Arabidopsis thaliana: one gene and its partner. The protein of the gene in region 1 interacts with the protein of each later gene in a pairwise test. Each region holds a gene or a part of one and is shown on either strand. Other genes may lie near its edges. The genes, in order: AT3G50650 and AT5G45580.

Region 1 (9,282 bases):
AAACTTCAAAATTAATATTTTTAATTATTTTCGAGCGTTATATTAACAATTATAGATAAATTATATATATAATTTTATGTAAATATCATTCCATATTCAAAAATAAAACTGAATATATATAATTCACTCATTGTGGACAACTTGCTAGTATATACGTATAAACAGAGTTAAGATTCAAGACACAAAGTACTAGAACGATCAAGAGAGTGTGGAATAAAATTTACCTAAAGGTACTTGATTGAACTCAATTATGTTTGGTCTTGCATCATCTAAAAGCCTTTTCGCATCACCATAAGCAATAATAGAGTGTGAACCATGAAAACGAAGAGAATCATAAAATGTGCATGAATAGCACCAAATTGGATAACATCTGGACTCGGGCAATCGTCAATGTCCCATAACAATGTCGTCTTCGCTTCTGCAATATAGAAAACGAGATGGATGAATACTAAGATTTTATAGTAATTAGTGAAACTATAGAGAAATATAAACTCAATATCCTTAATTACCTTGGTCTTTCTTGGAGGGTCGAAACATGGTTTTCAACAAATTTAGAGACAAATAAACTTTCTCATTTGGATTTGTTTGTTTTTGATTGTGCGTGCTAAGAACCTAAGACCACCTCCAATAATATTTCTATAGGAGTCTTTAAGCATAAAATTCTTACGAAAAAGTTAAAAAATAAATCAAAACTGATAATTAATGTAAGGGACGATCCTTAAATTAAAGTTTTTAGAGTTTGTAAGAGACTCATACGTGTCATTGTACTATTGGGTAGAAAATATGAGGGAAAATAATCTTTTTTTCTTTCCGATGATTGTTGAAGGCAAGAATCTTGAAATTTTAACAAACAATTTGGAGAAAAGAAAGATAGACGGGGTGATTGGATTAGACTTTTAAGACTTTAAGAAGTTTTTAGAAGTTTTAAAAGTTTTTTTAACCCAATCAAACATTTTTGGTTTTCATAAATTTTAAAGCCTTTAAAGTCTTTTTTTCTTAAACTCTTTGTTTTCAATATTTTTTGAAAATCACGTATAGGTGACTTTAGAAATAAAGAAATAAAAAGTTTATAGTTTTTTTCTTCTTCTTTCTAATATGTATATAAACTCTCATAACATTTCACAAATAAATTATTTTTTGAAAAAATCTAATTGATTTATAATTGATTTTTTTCTTGTTCTTTTAAAATCTATTTTCCTATATATTTGGTAGTTATTTTAAAATCGTAATTTATACAAAATTTCCTATGGAATTCATTGATAAATGTTTATAATTACTGTTTAATTTATATTCTTTTAAGATCCACTTATGTATATTAAAGAACATCAAATATTACATTTGATGCAAAAGCAAAGAAATATGAATGTATAAAAAATTTACCATAAAGTTTTTTTGTGTGAATGTAGTTGTTATATCACAGTTCGAGTTATATTTGCTATAATTTATATTATTTAAAATTATAAGTTTTACAGTTACAATTTCTACAGTTTTGGTGTTACCTATCAGATTTTAACCGTTAAAGTCTATACTGTTAAAATTTTTAAAGTCAAAATTTTTATAATCAAAGTTTTTACCGTCAAAGTTCCTACAGCGAAAGTCTCTACAACCAAAATTAACAGTCGTTACCAATCGGCCCTAAAGATAGATAATGATATCTTACCGCTGAAATCTTCTCCCTCGTAATACATGGTTTTGACGGATTGATCGAGACAATTAGAGAGTGATAAAAAAAAATCTGTGGTTGAGTTAGGGTTTAAATACGTAATCAGGTGACACGTTAAATTATCTAATTGTACTTTACCAAAAATTATATAATTGTAATTAATTAAAATGCCAAGAAAAAAGAAAAAAAAAAACAGTGCAGATAGACATATGGTTGATTAACACACTGTATTATCCATTTATTTACAGTGAAATAAAATATGATTAAATAAAACAAAAACAGAAGCCTCCAAATATTTGGAGGCTGATTACGCCAACTAGTCCCCGTGTTCCTCGATTAGGTCGGCCCATCATATTGTTGGATAATTACGGCCCATAAAGTTTTTACTTGATCTGAAATCATCCAAATGAGAAGATTTAGATAATTCATAAATTATATTGATGTTCAATTGTTCATCATACTGCTCTTTTGTTAACAACAATATGGCTTTGAATTTGATTGATTGTCTCTAATTTTGCAGATATTGGAAAGACGAAATGGTTCGATATTTTGAAGTATAGGTTTATTCACATGAACACCCTCGGTGATGAAATCGAGACTTACCAACCAAAAGCCCTTGTTTATTGATTTTCGTGGTTTGGCCCGCAAGTATTTTTTTTCTTTTCTGGTTAGCCGAATAATATTCAGAAAACGAGGAAAAGCATTGAGATTTTTTTGTTTTAACTAACTAAAATTTGGATGAGAAAGTGAGTTAGCTGGTCAATAAAAGGTACAAAAGTTTAGTGTTTGGACAGGCCACTTGTCATTTGAAAAGTCTCTTTCTGTTTTGTATGAGATAATCGTCACCAAATATATATTTTTCTTACTGACTTAATAATTTCTGTTTAACTGATTCAAATAGTAAATATATTTTGGTTAATTAAAGGTTCAAACGAAAATAAGTGTAAAAAGCTAAGGAGGAGACAAAAATAGGTAAATTTTAGTTGGTAAGAGTTGAAACTAAAAATTAGTATTTAAAAAAAAAAGCAAAGAATGTGACAAAAATGGTAAATATATAGAGAGACTTTCTTGGGGATGACTCAATGCCACTCTTTGTTCATACATAAGAAACCCCACCGATGACTTGGATAGAAAGAAAAGACAAATCAAACCCTTTCATTCTTACTCATGTCCTTTTCATACACCACTCATTCTCTCTCTCTCTCTATCTATTTTCTCCAAGTCCACTTGCAGATAGGTGCAATGGTTAAACACTAAAGTGGGATTGCCATTTTCAAAGACAAGTCCTTTTCAAAAATATCATCTTCTTCATTCTCCTTGTTGAAATCATTACCAATTTAGAACAGTCCATGGCACTTTGTAGTAAAAAATGTCAAAAGTGAAAATCAAAAGTAGACTTGGGCCAGGGACCATATACCATGTTTAGTAATGTAATTTAGATATTTAAGTTATAAGTAGTGGAGAAGTAGGCCTTTTGACGCGGATACAACGATGAAATGAAAAGAGTGATGTCTCAAAGAGTCAAGTGTCGTTCCCATGTGCTTTTTGTTCGCTATTGCTCTTTTCTATTTCATTCGCTTTAGGTTTTTAGAAATTGCAAAGTCACAAAGAGCTTCCACACTCAAACCTCAAATAAGCAAATTCTCGAACTATGCGTCGTGTATGAATGATAATTCATAAAACTTGGTTTGTTATTGAAAGACTTTTAAATTCTATAATCCTCTTTGGACTCTTTTCTTGTTTCTTCTTTGCTTGTGTTTTTTTTTTGGTATTTTTGTGTAATTTTTAGCTTTTGGCTAATGGCTACTACATTTTCTTCGTCAAAGTTCGTCCACCAACAACAGATACTAGTAGAGCCCGCCACAAATCGCTTTTGCTCCATTGTATATGGGCCTACTTACGGACCCACAAGCCGTCCTCCACAACACTAACGTTGAGATAAAAAAGACATGCGTATACAAATAAAACATGTCTATTGTTTAATTTTTGCTTGCTCAAGTCATATTCAAGATGTTAGCTTAACTTGTCGAAAGGTTTTTTTACAAAAGTAACTGAAACTAAACCAATGAAGTCACTGAAATTTGTTAACCAAAGTCCAATTTAACGACCCTTTTAGTTGATAAGAAACAGCTTTGAAAAACCTTGACCTTTGCGGCTTGAAAGCAGAAGATAATAACCTAATTCTTTTTACTTTTCTTACATCAATCTTTTTACCTTTATAATACTGTTAGTTAAAATGAAAAAAGACAGAAAAGTTGCAGGCGACATGCAGGTGACAAGTAGCAGAAGACAGTTGTCGACGTGTCACATTCACCATTTCAGCCAAAGCCATTGATCTGATTCTAGACGGTGGAGATGAGGTCACACTCTTCGATACGTAACTGCCGATACATGACGTCATCGTGTCTGTGGGTCCCATAAGTGAGATATCGTTTTACTCTCTCTTTTTTTTCATAACGTCAACTCTTTTTTTTACCCATATTAACAGAGTGGTAATAATTATTTAACAAAAAAAAACCTATGTATTTTTTATTTTTTGGTCAAAAGGTTTCTGAATAAATTTGTAAGATTATACGAAACTACAAATTCATGAGATATAGAAATTATTCAATTGATATTTTGATAAATTACATTTCTATTATTAAATTCTTGAAAATAATTAAATACAAAACTGAGTTTTTTAGTAAACTATGTTAGTTAGTTTCTTCATTTTTTGTTGTTGTTGTTGGTTTTATAGTTTCTTCATTTCTTGCAGTTAATAACGTAATTTTGTACTTTTAAACTAAAGTGGTAATTGATTAAAAATACAGTACTCGAAAATGATAAATCGGATGACAAAAAAAAAGAAAATGATAAATCAAAATGAAAATACTCACTTTCTTACTTTTTTCTTCCTACTAAAATCTCTCCGGTTTCATTCATATCCCTCTCTCTCTCTGGGCCTTACTCAATCACCACCAAATAACAGACAAAAAAACGCCTTCATCGCCGGCGAAAGTGAGTCGGAGAATGGCGTATATGTGCACCGACAGCGGAAACTTAATGGCTATAGCACAACAACTCATCAAACAGAAGCAGCAACAACAATCACAACATCAACAACAAGAAGAACAAGAACAAGAACCCAACCCCTGGCCCAATCCATCCTTCGGGTTTACTCTTCCCGGTTCGGGTTTCTCCGACCCGTTTCAAGTAACCAACGACCCAGGTTTTCACTTTCCACACCTGGAGCATCATCAAAACGCAGCCGTCGCTTCCGAGGAGTTTGACTCCGACGAGTGGATGGAGAGTTTGATCAACGGTGGAGATGCGTCACAAACCAATCCAGACTTCCCAATCTACGGCCATGATCCATTCGTCTCATTCCCGAGTCGACTCAGTGCTCCTTCATATCTCAACCGAGTCAACAAAGATGACTCAGCGAGTCAACAACTCCCTCCGCCACCAGCTTCCACCGCTATATGGTCTCCATCTCCGCCATCACCACAACATCCTCCTCCTCCCCCGCCGCAGCCGGATTTTGATCTAAACCAGCCGATTTTTAAAGCTATCCACGATTATGCACGTAAACCGGAAACTAAACCGGACACACTAATTCGGATCAAAGAATCCGTGTCCGAATCAGGCGACCCGATACAACGAGTCGGGTATTACTTCGCAGAAGCTCTGTCTCATAAAGAAACAGAGTCTCCGTCGTCATCGTCGTCGTCATCCCTAGAAGATTTCATTCTCTCATACAAAACCTTAAACGACGCATGTCCATATTCAAAGTTCGCTCATTTAACAGCGAATCAAGCAATTCTCGAAGCTACGAATCAATCAAACAACATTCACATAGTCGATTTCGGGATTTTTCAAGGTATTCAATGGTCTGCTCTGTTACAAGCTTTAGCGACCCGTTCTTCTGGTAAACCCACCCGGATCCGGATTTCGGGTATACCCGCTCCGTCTCTAGGAGACTCACCGGGACCGTCTCTGATCGCTACGGGAAACCGTCTCCGTGATTTCGCGGCGATTTTGGATCTCAATTTCGAGTTTTATCCGGTTCTGACTCCGATTCAATTACTAAACGGGTCAAGTTTTCGGGTTGACCCGGATGAGGTTTTGGTTGTGAATTTTATGCTTGAGCTTTATAAGCTTCTAGATGAAACAGCGACGACTGTTGGTACGGCGCTCCGGTTAGCTAGATCGTTAAACCCGAGGATTGTGACGCTTGGAGAATACGAAGTCAGTTTAAACCGGGTTGAATTTGCTAACCGGGTTAAGAACTCTCTCCGGTTTTATTCCGCGGTTTTTGAATCGCTTGAACCGAATTTGGATCGAGATTCGAAAGAAAGGCTGAGAGTGGAGAGAGTGTTGTTCGGTAGGAGGATTATGGATTTGGTCCGATCAGATGATGATAATAATAAACCGGGAACCCGGTTTGGGTTAATGGAGGAGAAAGAACAATGGAGAGTGTTGATGGAGAAAGCTGGATTTGAGCCGGTTAAACCGAGTAATTACGCGGTTAGCCAAGCGAAGCTGCTACTATGGAACTACAATTATAGTACATTGTATTCACTTGTTGAATCGGAGCCAGGTTTCATCTCCTTGGCTTGGAACAATGTGCCTCTCCTCACCGTTTCCTCTTGGCGTTGACTACTTGGTCCGATAAGTTAATCTAGTATTTTGAGTTAGCTTTTAGAATTGAATTGTTTGGGGTTAGATTTGGATGTTTAATTAGTCTCTAGCCTATTCTCTTACTCTTTTTTATCTAGTGCTTGGAGTGATGATGGTTTGTCGTTTATGTTCATTTGTAATATATATTGTATGTAACATTTGACTAGATTTCTTTGGTATAAACGAAAGAAGCTAAACCAAATTCATGTGAATGAAAAAAACACTAGAATTAACCCCTGAAATTGAGGAAAGGAGGTGATGAAGTTTGATTTTGAAATGAGAGTATTATGGTCCCATAAAAGAGACTGAAATTTGAATTGCACTAAGATCTTTCACTAACACACCATTTCTTCTCCCTTTTCATCATTTTGTCTCCACTTTTTCTTGCCTAATATAGTTTTGTTTACTTCATGAAAATTATATACCAATGTTTTCTGTACCATTCACTGAATAATAAAATAGGAGCATAATTATTTGTCAGTGAAGTAAAAGCCAAAAATACGAAGGCGCACTGACAAGTATTTCAATCTTTCTGTGTCAGTCTTGTTTCTCTTTGTTCGAACTTCAAACGTGCCACTATGACGTCAACTCTCGAATTTCTTCTTCAGTGGTCTTTTGGTCCCCATTTCCTATATCTCTCAGCCACTACTCTGACTCTGTCTGTGAGTCTGATAGTAAATTTTACTTCCCTAACGAAGATAAAAGCCCACTCTGTTTATGCTTGGCCCAAAATAAACAGGCCTAATCTCTGTCCCATTCCTTTATTTATATTAGCCACAAACAAAAACAATACATAGAAGTATTTTGCAAATAACCCAACCAAGTCTTGACTCTTCACAGCTAATTGCTTACAATTTGCCAGCTTGATTTTTCATTTTTTAGAAAATCATGGTTAGGAATCCAACATCTATAAGTGTGATGATACCTGAAATAAAAATTAAAAAAAAAATGATCTAATCCACTCATTTTAAGTGCTTTTGAATTAGAAATCGAAAATGATATAGACTATAAAGTAATATATAGATCAATCCATTTATAACTAATTGATTTTGAGTTAGAAACTTCTAAACTTCACATACATCATAAAATTAAAAGTAAATCGTTTCATTTACAAATAACTAAAGTATTGGTGGAAACTAACACCTTTGGATATCGAGCAGACTATGTATGATATGAAATTCAACTTAGACGATGAAATTGCAAGCCATGAAATAATGTTTACCGGTTTCTCTAAGAAAAAAGGTTCAAGCAATGATGCGTTGATATTTTCCTATAATGAGATGAAACTGTTTTTTTGACCAATCATTCATGAGCGGAGTCGCATCACGACGACGTGTGGGATAAACAATGTTCAATGGAACTTCCAAGCACATGATTGACAACCTTGGTCCTTTGACTGCACGTTACCTCATATGTAAATAGATATTAATACAACATTTTATGCCCATATTTGTCGACATATCACTGAGTTAGTAGTATGTTTGATGGTAAGCAATAGAACAAGAAATAACAGAGGACAAATGGATAGTTTCTCACGTGCCTCCATGTGATCTTTAACTCCTTCAAGATACGAAGATCAACAACATTTTGCCAATGAATGATAATCTACAACATTATTTTTTTTGGTTCTATTATAAAACACTTTTTGCTAGAATCTCTCGGTCAAATATTCGTATATAGAATATAGTCATATAGATCAAGCTTGATGGATCTATGAGTTGGACATTAATAATCTCATTCCAACTTCTTATCCTATATATAACTCAATGGCTTAGATCTCTCATTCTATATGCCATTGAGTAAAAACATAAATGGCACGCTTAGAAATGCACAACTCCATGAATGGTGCTGCTAGAATCTCTTTTTCTAACGAGTTTGTCGAGATCAGATCGGAGAAGAGTAATGCTAAGAGCAACAACATCAACTCGAGAAGCTCTTTCTCCATGCCCTCAGCTGATTTCGCTTTCTCAGTCACCGATTACTCGATGATTCCCGCCGATGAAATCTTCCTCAAAGGAAAGATTTTACCTTTTAAGGAGACCAGTCACGTCCATAGGACCTTAGGAGAAGAGCTTCTTACTGAAGAGGAGGGTTCTATGGTCGATGGTAACACTTTCTCCCTCAGGCCAATATTGTTGTCTTCTTCATCCTTTTCCACAAAGGGCACGTGGAGGGAGCTTTTGGGACTTAAGAGGACCCATGTTAGATCTAAGAAGACTGATAAAGTCAATGAGGAAGTGTTAAGTCAAGATCACAAAATAATCTCAGGTATACAAACAAAAACAATCCTCTGTTTTGAAATTTTTATTCTTCTTTGGATAACCGGAGATTCCCAAACCAATACTAATATGAGCTAGTGAAAATCTTTTGGACTGATCAGGAAATGTTGCAACGAGGGAGTGTCAAGTTGCAGATACAAGATGAAGAAAGTTTAGAGCTCCCACTTTGGTTTCTAGAAATTAATTTAGATTATTTATGATAATCTAGATTGACTGTATCTAAAAGGTCTTTGGACAAAGATGGTTCCAAGTTACAACAACTCTTCTCGCTCACGTGTTTTGTTGTTCTTGTAAGTTTTTGTTTTGTTTGTGGAATCAATCATTTTGTGGAACATCTCTATTTTTTAATGCCAGTGAAGATTTGTGTGTAATACTTTTTCTTTTTATTCACTTTTAGTTATAAGTTGTCTGCATGCACTTGTCTCACGTACCACTTATTATCATATATTCATATCGACCAATTAAACTTCTTTTCCCACTTTAATTTGATGGTTTAGTGTATTTAGCATAATCAAAATAGTATGTGCGTGAGGACTTGTTCTGAAGTATTTATTCCTCTCATTCGTTGAAAATGAAGTTGAAGAACACTTGTTTTTTTTGTTATGAATGTTAATATCATTAAAAATGAAAAGGTTTGGCTTTACAAAGTAGGAGCCCTTAAATTTGTATCCTTGGCAAAAA
Region 2 (9,480 bases), on another chromosome or scaffold:
CTTTGGGGGTTCTACTATGGGCTTTATTATGCATGGGAGAACAAGATTACTCGGTTAAAGTTGGAAGTTGATTCGAAGATGGTTGCGGGGTTTCTTAAGACGGGGATATGCGATACTCATCCCTTGTCGTTCCTAGCACGCTTGTGCTATGGCTTTTTATCAAAGGATTGGTTGGTCCAATTGTCTCATGTGTATAGGGAGGCGAATCACTTTGCGGATGGTTTGGCTAATTATGCATTTTTATGCCTTTTAGGGTTGCATTTACTAGATTCTTGTTCGGATTGTATCTCATCTTTTTTTGATGAAGACTATCGTGGGATCTCGTATTCACGGCGTATTTGTTTGTAATTTGGTTTAATTTTATAATAATATTTTGAAGGGGACTCGTTGTCCCCTTCGCCTACAAAAAAAAAACAAATTAGTTTGGTATTTTTTTGGCTTTTTTCCCAAAGACATTTTACCATTATCAAAGTAAAAGAGAATGATGACAAGAAAAAAAAAGAGTAAAAAAGAATAGAGTTATCCTAATAACCAAACACTCAAAATCATTTCCCAAAAACCCCAAAGCTTTGTCACACACACTTCTTCTCTTTTATAAAATTCGCATTTCAATCAGAAAATTGTTCTTCCCCTTGGAGACGACAATGCAGAGGTTTTGCACTAAGCTACGTTCCATTTCTCTCCAATCTAATCGGAATCTCTCTTTTTACGGTGCTTCTCCTCACCGTCTCATTCACCATTCTCCTTCTCCGAGTCGTCACTTAACAACAACAACCCTAGGTTTTGCCAATTCCACCAAATGGAGCTTCGTTCCCGCCGCCGGAGTTTTTCCGTCGAATGTTAGCTCCATGGGCACTACCTTTGTTCCTCATCACGTAAGTTTCCAGAATTTAGCTTCAATTGCTTTATATATATCTGCTGATTGAGACAAATCTTAGGAGGACAAGATCTGACGAGTGACGAGCTAGATAGTTTGAATTGGTATATAGTTTTAGCTTCTTCTGAATTTTCTATATGTTCTGTTGAAACAAAATCAACAACATGGATTACTAAATACTAATTCAAAGAATGTTAATAAGCTTACTTGCACTTTGTTTTGAATCCAACTGATACAAGTCAGTGCTTGCATATATCACTACGTTGCAAGTTTTAACCTACTAAATCTCTTTTGTTAAAAAAAAAAAAAGAGCTTACTCAATCTCATAAGATACATACATGTTTTCTTTGGAATCTTAACATTCGGATTTATTGTGTACGGTTCTTGAATTTTGTGCCCCTTGTTTGATCATAGGAAAGAAGAATCGTCATGGCTTTGATTGCGTGTTTTCCGAAAATAGAATTATTTGTTCATAGTAGCTCTTGCATTTTGATATCATGTTCGTTAAGCCAGATGATAAAGGCGGTGTGCTTGAGTATCATCACTACGAAGTACCAACATTGATTTATATCTGATTGCTTATCTTATGTACGTTTGATTCTCTCTGCCTTCAGTTTGTTCAAGTACGAAATATCACTTCTAAGGAAAAAATGGCAAAATGGAAGAAGAAGTGGAGACCTAGGACTCCAATCACATCAAAAGTCAAGAAAGTCAAGATTAAGTTTTATTCGTACGTGCTGAAACTTCTGATTCCCAGATTATCAACAAATCTTGTTAGTAATAGTTTGGGCGTCTCTCTCAACAATTTTTTTTTGTGTTGAATCTATATCTCAGGTCATTCAAAGACAGGTTTAAACCACTAAATGATGGTACCATCCGTCGCTGGAAAGAAGGCAAGCGCCACAACGCACATTTGAAGGTAACAACACCTTATTCCTCATATCGATGATAGAAAATTTTATTCATTCTTTGGCCTACGCCTCTAGAGGAACAGTATGATAATACCTAGGGATAGAACTGATCGAAAATTGCCCAACAGCTGATTCTGGTGATAGTGAACTTAAATTTGGATAGAACTAGTTTTGAACTTCGAGTCTTTAGGTGTTTCCTTGTTTAGCTAAATGGACAAATGGTAGGCAAAGTTGTATTTTACAATACCATCTCTGTTGTTGGACCTCTTCGGGGTTTCATCATTGTGTAAGATTTCTGAGTCAGGTTGAGAAATGTTGAGTGTAAAGAATTTGTTTTGTTAATTGATGCAGTCAAAGAAATCGAAGCGTAGATTGAGACAACCTGGACTAGTACCACCAGCATATGCGAAAGTCATGAAGAAACTCAATTTCTGCAATTGAGAGATAGAGCATGAAACAGTATGATTACGATGAAAGCCAGTCTCTTCCAGTTTTTACCAGATAATTTTGCTCACTGGTACTCAAAAAATCTTTATGTTTCAGTTTAACTTCATTGGAATAAATTGAGTTTTCGAAATATGGTGAAATTGGCGTTAAGACTGATCGGTTTTGAAAAGAGAAACAAGTTAGGCTTATGATTTTTTCTCAAGTACATTTTCCAGCTAAACCAGAAGAAACTTTGTTTCCCGAGTCGGTCCGGTTATATGATATTTCGGTTTAGTCAGATTGTACCGGTGTAAACCGAGCTTTGGATTGAAAAATACACCCATTCTCATGTTTGGTTAGGACAAAACGATTGCGGTCGAACGAAGCGGCCTTGGTTCCACGTGTGTATTTCTTGTGGGTCTCAATTTCAACAAACGTAAAAGACAAAAGAGTAACAAAGCCGTCCACGTGTCCTATGTTGAAATACCATTAAACCCCCACCGTCGAACATGTGAGTTTCAGATTATTGTATTTTCCTTGTCCGACGGCGAATATTCCACGCTGGCAGTCTACGTGACATGCTCGCCCCATGCACTTTGTTTTCGTCATATAAATTCCTTTTTAAAACCATTGAATTATTATTGTTATTGTTTTTAAAAAAATACAAAAAAAGGTTTTATGTCGCTCTTGTCGGAATTTGACACCGCTCATCACTCATCATGTATTGATCGTCGCCGAATACAACGATTTGTTTTTTTTTTAAAACAATTTTTAAAAGGTCACAATACAACAATGAATTTCATCAAATCTTTTATCAAAAAAAAAATGAATTTCATTTTATTTGATTATTCGGAATTGATTTATGTGTAATGTGGAATGTGTAATAACAAATTACTAATTTAGTAATTTGGTCGAAACATTTTCTATGTTTATTTTCTTCTTCTATCTCAAATTGAGACTATCCGACAACATATGAATGATAAATTTATATGATACCTAAATAAAGGAACAACATGGAGAGAGATTTTGATTCATGGATTGTATGAGAATGAGACAAAACCTTTAGTCATAAGTTATCTGATTTAAAAACACATAAATCTAACATATAAATTATTCAAATGATAAAAATGATAATTCCTAGAAACTATATATTCTTTGGACATTAATAATCTAGGTATAGTAAACAAATATCCATGATGCGGGCCATGTTCCTCTCTCCCATGTTACGATTCTGAATATACAAATACCTCTTGATTGATTACAAAAAGAAAAAAAAAAGTACGCAATCATGTATATATTTTATTCTACAACATGACATATACACGGTCTAGCATCTCATAGACACAATTAAAAACGCAAGTAATATGCGGTTGGTAATTGCGTTTGTATGCAATAAATCACTAATCAGTCATAATACAATAAAATTTTGCTATGTTTTGCTTTCATACTATTCACAAAATCGATATAAAAAACGTTAATAATTACTATTTTCTTTTTTATTATCATAATATTTCGATATGGATACAATTTGTTTTTGTATATAAACAAACTTTTAGTGTTGGATCCATAATTTGTATTATACATATATTATAATAATACTATATTAACCGAAGGTTGACGTTAAGTCACGAATAATGTCACCACTTCTCCTCCTCCATCATCATCATCACCGCGACGACTTTTTTAAGTTCCCTTTCTCTCTCTCTGAGATTTTCCTCAAAAAGTTTTCTGATCTCTTTTTCTCCATCAATCATCACACTTCTTTCTATTTATCTCGTCCTCTCGTCGCCGATTATCTCTTTACCCTAATCACTCGCATTCCCATCTTTAACAAAATTTCTTCCACTTTCTTTCCGACCAATATTTCGTAGTTCGATTGCCATTTTTCCTTTTTTTGAGTTTACGCTTCCTCTTTCCGATCACATCCTTGAGAAGAGGAAAATTTCGAAGTTATTTGATTCATTCTTCCGACTGAGTTTCCCGCCATTATTTTGTTTGATCGGAAAATTAAATGGAAAGAGTGAATCTCGGAGGTTTAGGTTACGATAATGGCGGAGTTATGATGACTAGAGATCCCAAACCTAGGCTCAGATGGACAGCCGATCTTCATGATCGCTTCGTCGACGCCGTCGCTAAGCTCGGTGGCGCTGACAGTAAGCTCCTCTTTCCTCCTCTTCTTCAATTGTGATAACCGGTTTCACTTTATAATTCCGGTTCAGTCCGGTTAAATCTACAGTTGATGTATCTGTGTAACAACATTATAGCTCTTTTACTCTTTCTTATTCTTCAATTGAGATAACCGGTTTCACATTATGATTCCGGTTCACTTCGGTTTGGTTGGTTAAGTTAATGCCAGTGATTCAATTGATTCTTCTCTATGTAGCTTGATAACTTCAAATTTAATAGGTTACAAATGTAATTATATCTGTTTGCTTAGTGACATTTGTTATTGGTTTGGTTTTGTAGAAGCAACTCCTAAATCGGTTCTGAAGCTGATGGGATTAAAAGGTTTAACACTGTACCATCTCAAGAGCCATTTACAGGTCCAAATTTATACAAATTTGAGTATATAATAATGTATAATGTCTACAAATTGTTGGTTTATATTCTCTCTTATGATGTGTTTCTATATGCAGAAGTATAGACTTGGTCAACAACAAGGCAAAAAACAAAATAGAACAGAACAAAACAAAGAAAATGCTGGTATGTATGATTATTATCAAGAATTCAAGATTTATATATAATTCAGCTTATAGTAGAGTATAATATATATATACATATGATGTATTTAAGGAATATTAATGTAGATAACATTTGAGAAACCAAAGATTGATTGATTTTTGTATTCACAGGAAGTTCATATGTGCATTTCGACAATTGTTCTCAAGGAGGAATCTCCAATGATTCAAGATTTGATAACCATCAAAGGTATATTATATATGAATTTGCCTTCTCTCGACATAATGGATTTGTAAAGCTTGAGTTTGACATAATGTTAATGAACACACGTAGACAAAGCGGGAATGTACCTTTTGCTGAGGCAATGAGACATCAGGTCGATGCGCAACAACGGTTTCAAGAACAACTCGAGGTAACAAATCTCTTCTTTCTTCTCTCACAACAATGAATAAAAGTTTTAAACCGAAGTTTTTGCGGTGTTATAGGTGCAGAAAAAACTGCAGATGAGAATGGAGGCACAAGGAAAATATTTGTTGACATTACTAGAGAAAGCACAGAAGAGCTTACCTTGTGGTAATGCAGGGGAAACAGACAAGGGTCAATTCTCGGATTTCAATCTCGCACTTTCGGGACTTGTAGGAAGTGATCGTAAGAACGAGAAGGCGGGTTTGGTTACTGATATCTCACACCTTAATGGTGGTGATTCCTCTCAAGAGTTTCGGTTATGTGGAGAACAAGAGAAAATAGAAACCGGAGATGCATGTGTTAAACCAGAATCCGGGTTTGTGCATTTTGATTTGAACTCCAAAAGTGGGTATGATCTCTTGAATTGTGGGAAATATGGGATTGAAGTGAAGCCAAATGTGATTGGAGATAGACTTCAATAGGTTAAAGAGACACTTTCTTTAATTTTTTATTTTATTTTATTATTTCTTTACATTTCTTATAGAATGTTACAAATTTGGCTTCATGGTTTCTCAGTCAAATATCAAGAACATATTTGAAGTCCAAAGTAGTTGATATCAGCTAAATACGGAATAATTGGGTTTAACTAAATAAGTTATTTTTGTGAATAATAAAGTGTAGCATCTTCTCTCGCTTGTTCTGCAAAATTCAAAACCTATTTGCTTGTTTCTTAATTCTTTTCAAAAATATGTCTATGCATCTAATTGTCTCTTTCTAAAAAATGAGGATCAAACAAAGATGAGATTTGATTCTCATGATTGATTTTCTCAGTTAAAAATAAGGGAAATTTAATAGAGTAACCCATATTTTATACATAAAGACCCAAAAGGAATGCTAAAAATATGAGTTATTTGAGTAATAATTATACCTAAATTATCCTTGTTTTCCTTTGCAGAGAAAAACAATATTACAGAAATGCCATTACTATTTAATTCCAGCAAGGCAATAAAACCACATTTATTTACGAAAATGCCATCGTCGTTTTTGATAAATCTGTGGCTCTTGTTGCGACGGATTTGTTATCGATCACAGATTTGTTGGTCAACCACAGATTTTTTACAACAGACTTGTTTTGTACCCCAGACTTTCCTGTGTTATGTTACGCCAGATTTTTTTTTTTTCGCAGATTTTTTAACCGTGACTAATTTGTTTCATATAGTCTCCACAGATTTTATTTAAATTTCAAAAGTAAGAATGTTGAAACCAAATCTGTCACTGATTTGTTTTTCGGACCACAGATTTTTCTTTATGGCGGCAACAGATTTTCTATTTGCACCCAAAAATCTGTTGTGTTATAACAGATTTGTTAACCTCGAAAAATGTTATATAGGCATGACAGAGTTGTTTTGTGTAATCACAGATTTAATTAACTTGTTAACAAATCTGGTGTTTTACAACAGATTTTTGTTAAAAAATAAAATTACTACACAGTCACATAGTGATAACAGATTTGTTTTTAGTGATGACAGTTTTTTTTTTCAGTGTCAAAACATAACAGATTTACTCATGTCAATGTTATGGCCGATTTGTTTATGACTAGAATAACCTTTTTAGTAATAACAGACTTTTTTTGGCAGATTTATTTTTAAAATTTCGAAATTTTTTGTTATATGAGATTTATTAGCTAGCCCTCAATTAAATTATTTCCGGTTTGATTGTATGTTAAATCCGGTTTGACTTGATTTTTTTTTTTTTTTTTTGAAAACGTTATGACAGACTTTTATTAGGCGACAGATTTTTCCGAAATATTACCATATTTGAGTCAAGGAATATTCTCGTAACGCCTAGGGTTTCCAATGAAAAAAACTGCCATTGTCGTTTTCTTTTTTCTTCTGTAACGCCTACCAAATCTAATTTCAATACAATCCATTATTCTTCTACCTATTCGAGATCTTAGTTGCTTCATCTTTGACACAAATTCGATTCCCTTGTTTATCGATTCTCTCTTTGGTATGGATCAAGTAATTCTCGTGTGTGGTAAATGGGTATATGAGAAAACGAGATGGATTTTTGTGGTTGATAGTACAAAAGGTTGTCGTGTACTTGAAGGTAATAGTCAAACCAGTTATGATGATTTCATCCAAATGGTGTATGAGGATTACAATATCGAGAAGAGTGTATTTGAAGTTATTTTGAGTTACAAGATCCCGAAATCAAAGCAATTACCAGCAGATACTCCACCTGTACTCATTGGTAATAATAGACAGTTTCAGTCTTATTTGGGGCAAACGAAGAATGATACTGTTCGACTTTGTGTTGAATTAAAAGAGAAAGTTCTAGATGAATATGAAGAGGAAATCATTGATGATTTAGGTAGCAGCGACTTGCCGAAGACAAAAGCAGTTGATGTATACGGTATTGTCGAAGAAAACGTTGAAAACGTTGACGTATTCACTCATACTGATAGCGTTGTTGAAAGAAAAAAATCTGAAGCAGTTGAAGATGGTGAAGATGACGGGAGTAGATTTGATTACTGTGATGATTCCGACGGAACAGATTCTGATGATGAGAACTTTAGCCTCTATGGGATTCCACCAGAAGAAGAAGATAAAACGAACGTATCAAGCAAGAAGATGAGTTTAAGTGTATACGTAGAAGAAGATAAAGGAGATGCTACATACGAGACCTTAGAACTATCGTCATTGGGATTGGCCGTTGGTCAATGTTTTGAAACGAAAGATCACTTGGAGACACGTTTGAAGATACTTACTGTGTTAGAGAAATTTGATTTTGATGTTTCGAAATCGACTCCTACATTATATTTTGTAAAGTGTTGGATTAAGGGATGTCGATGGAGAGTGCGAGCAACACCAGTTGACGAGTATCCAAAGTTTCAGGTGAGAGTGTATGTTTCGGAACATACATGTTCTGTTACTAAACGCTCATCACGTTCTCGACAAGCTACTCACGAAATACTTGGATTGCTCTATAAGAATTACGTTGGTGGAATTGGACCTAAGGTTCTCCCAATGCACGTTGCCGAAGCATTGACTAAACGATTTCAAATCAAGGTACGATTTCCAATTTCTTGGCTTTCTTTGTTTATTAATTACACCTTGTTTTCAACCAACTAATCACTAAAGTCAATACATTTTATTAGATGGATTACTGGAAGGCTTATCGGACACTAAGATCTGCCCGAGAGATGGTTAGGTATACACCAGAAAGTGGTTACGAGCAACTTCCGGTATACTTGTACATGCTAGGGAGGGAAAATCCTGGAACCTTCACGCGACTTGAAGTGGATGAAACACAGCGATTTAAGTACTTGTTTCTTGCGTTTGGTGCAAGTATTTTAGGATTCCCTTTCATGAGGAAAGTGGTGGTTGTTGACGGTACTTTTTTACAGGGAAAATACTTAGGGACACTTCTTACAGCAACAACTCAAGATGGTAACTTTCAGATATACCCGATTGCTTTTGCCGTTGTTGATACTGAAAATGATGCCTCATGGGAATGGTTTTTTAGACAACTCAGCAGTGTGATTCCAGATGATGAAAGTCTCGCCATTATTTCAGACAGGCACCAATCCATTAAAAGAGCAATAATGACAGTTTATCCTAAGTCTAGCCGGGGAATCTGTACATACCACTTGTACAAGAATATATTAGTTCGCTTTAAAGGTCGGGATGCATTTGGTTTGGTAAAGAAGGCAGCAAACGCTTTCAGATTAGTCGATTTTGAAAGGATATTTGATCAGATTTTAGCTTTGAATCCTGCTCTTCATGCTTACCTTCAAAGAGCTGATGTACGTTTGTGGACTCGTGTGCATTTTCCTGGTGATAGGTACAACTTGCTTACAAGTAACATTGCGGAGTCAATGAATAAGGTCATGTCACCCGCAAGAAGCCTTCCTATTGTACAACTGTTAGAAGAAATTAGATCCATGATGACGAGATGGTTTTCAGACAGAAGGAATGATGCATTGAATTTGTCTACATATCTTACTCGTGGAGTAGAGAAGATATTGCAGGTTTCATTTCTAATACAAACACAATTTATACACGTCCGTATATTGGTGATTATAGCTAACTAATGACATTGTCTTCTTTGTAGAGTCGTGTAGAGCACGCTAAATTGCTAAGTGTGCAAGACATAGATGCAAATCAAGTACAAGTTACG

Evidence for each region.
Region 2: the proteins of AT3G50650 (region 1) and AT5G45580 interact in binary tests that used the Arabidopsis thaliana proteins (3 or more experiments, as listed by UniProt).

What each region holds. Positions count from the first base shown.
Region 1 is NC_003074.8:18,803,491-18,812,772, reverse strand, and holds AT3G50650 (GRAS family transcription factor), read left to right. Parts: upstream 1-4,529; 5' UTR 4,530-4,672; coding exon 4,673-6,301; 3' UTR 6,302-6,634; downstream 6,635-9,282. Other genes in the region: AT3G50640 (uncharacterized protein), read left to right, coding at 8,134-8,590, 8,703-8,746. UniProt on the Arabidopsis thaliana protein: Probable transcription factor involved in plant development. Involved in environmental abiotic stress resistance. May increase the expression of stress-responsive genes. Binds DNA in vitro.
Region 2 is NC_003076.8:18,477,392-18,486,871, reverse strand, and holds AT5G45580 (Homeodomain-like superfamily protein), read left to right. Parts: upstream 1-3,863; 5' UTR 3,864-4,225; coding exon 4,226-4,367; intron 4,368-4,680; coding exon 4,681-4,757; exon of another isoform or gene 4,758-4,796; coding exon of another isoform or gene 4,797-4,850; coding exon 4,851-4,917; intron 4,918-5,066; coding exon 5,067-5,142; intron 5,143-5,226; coding exon 5,227-5,305; intron 5,306-5,378; coding exon 5,379-5,780; 3' UTR 5,781-6,063; downstream 6,064-9,480. Other genes in the region: AT5G45590 (Ribosomal protein L35), read left to right, coding at 645-875, 1,492-1,607, 1,712-1,796, 2,140-2,229.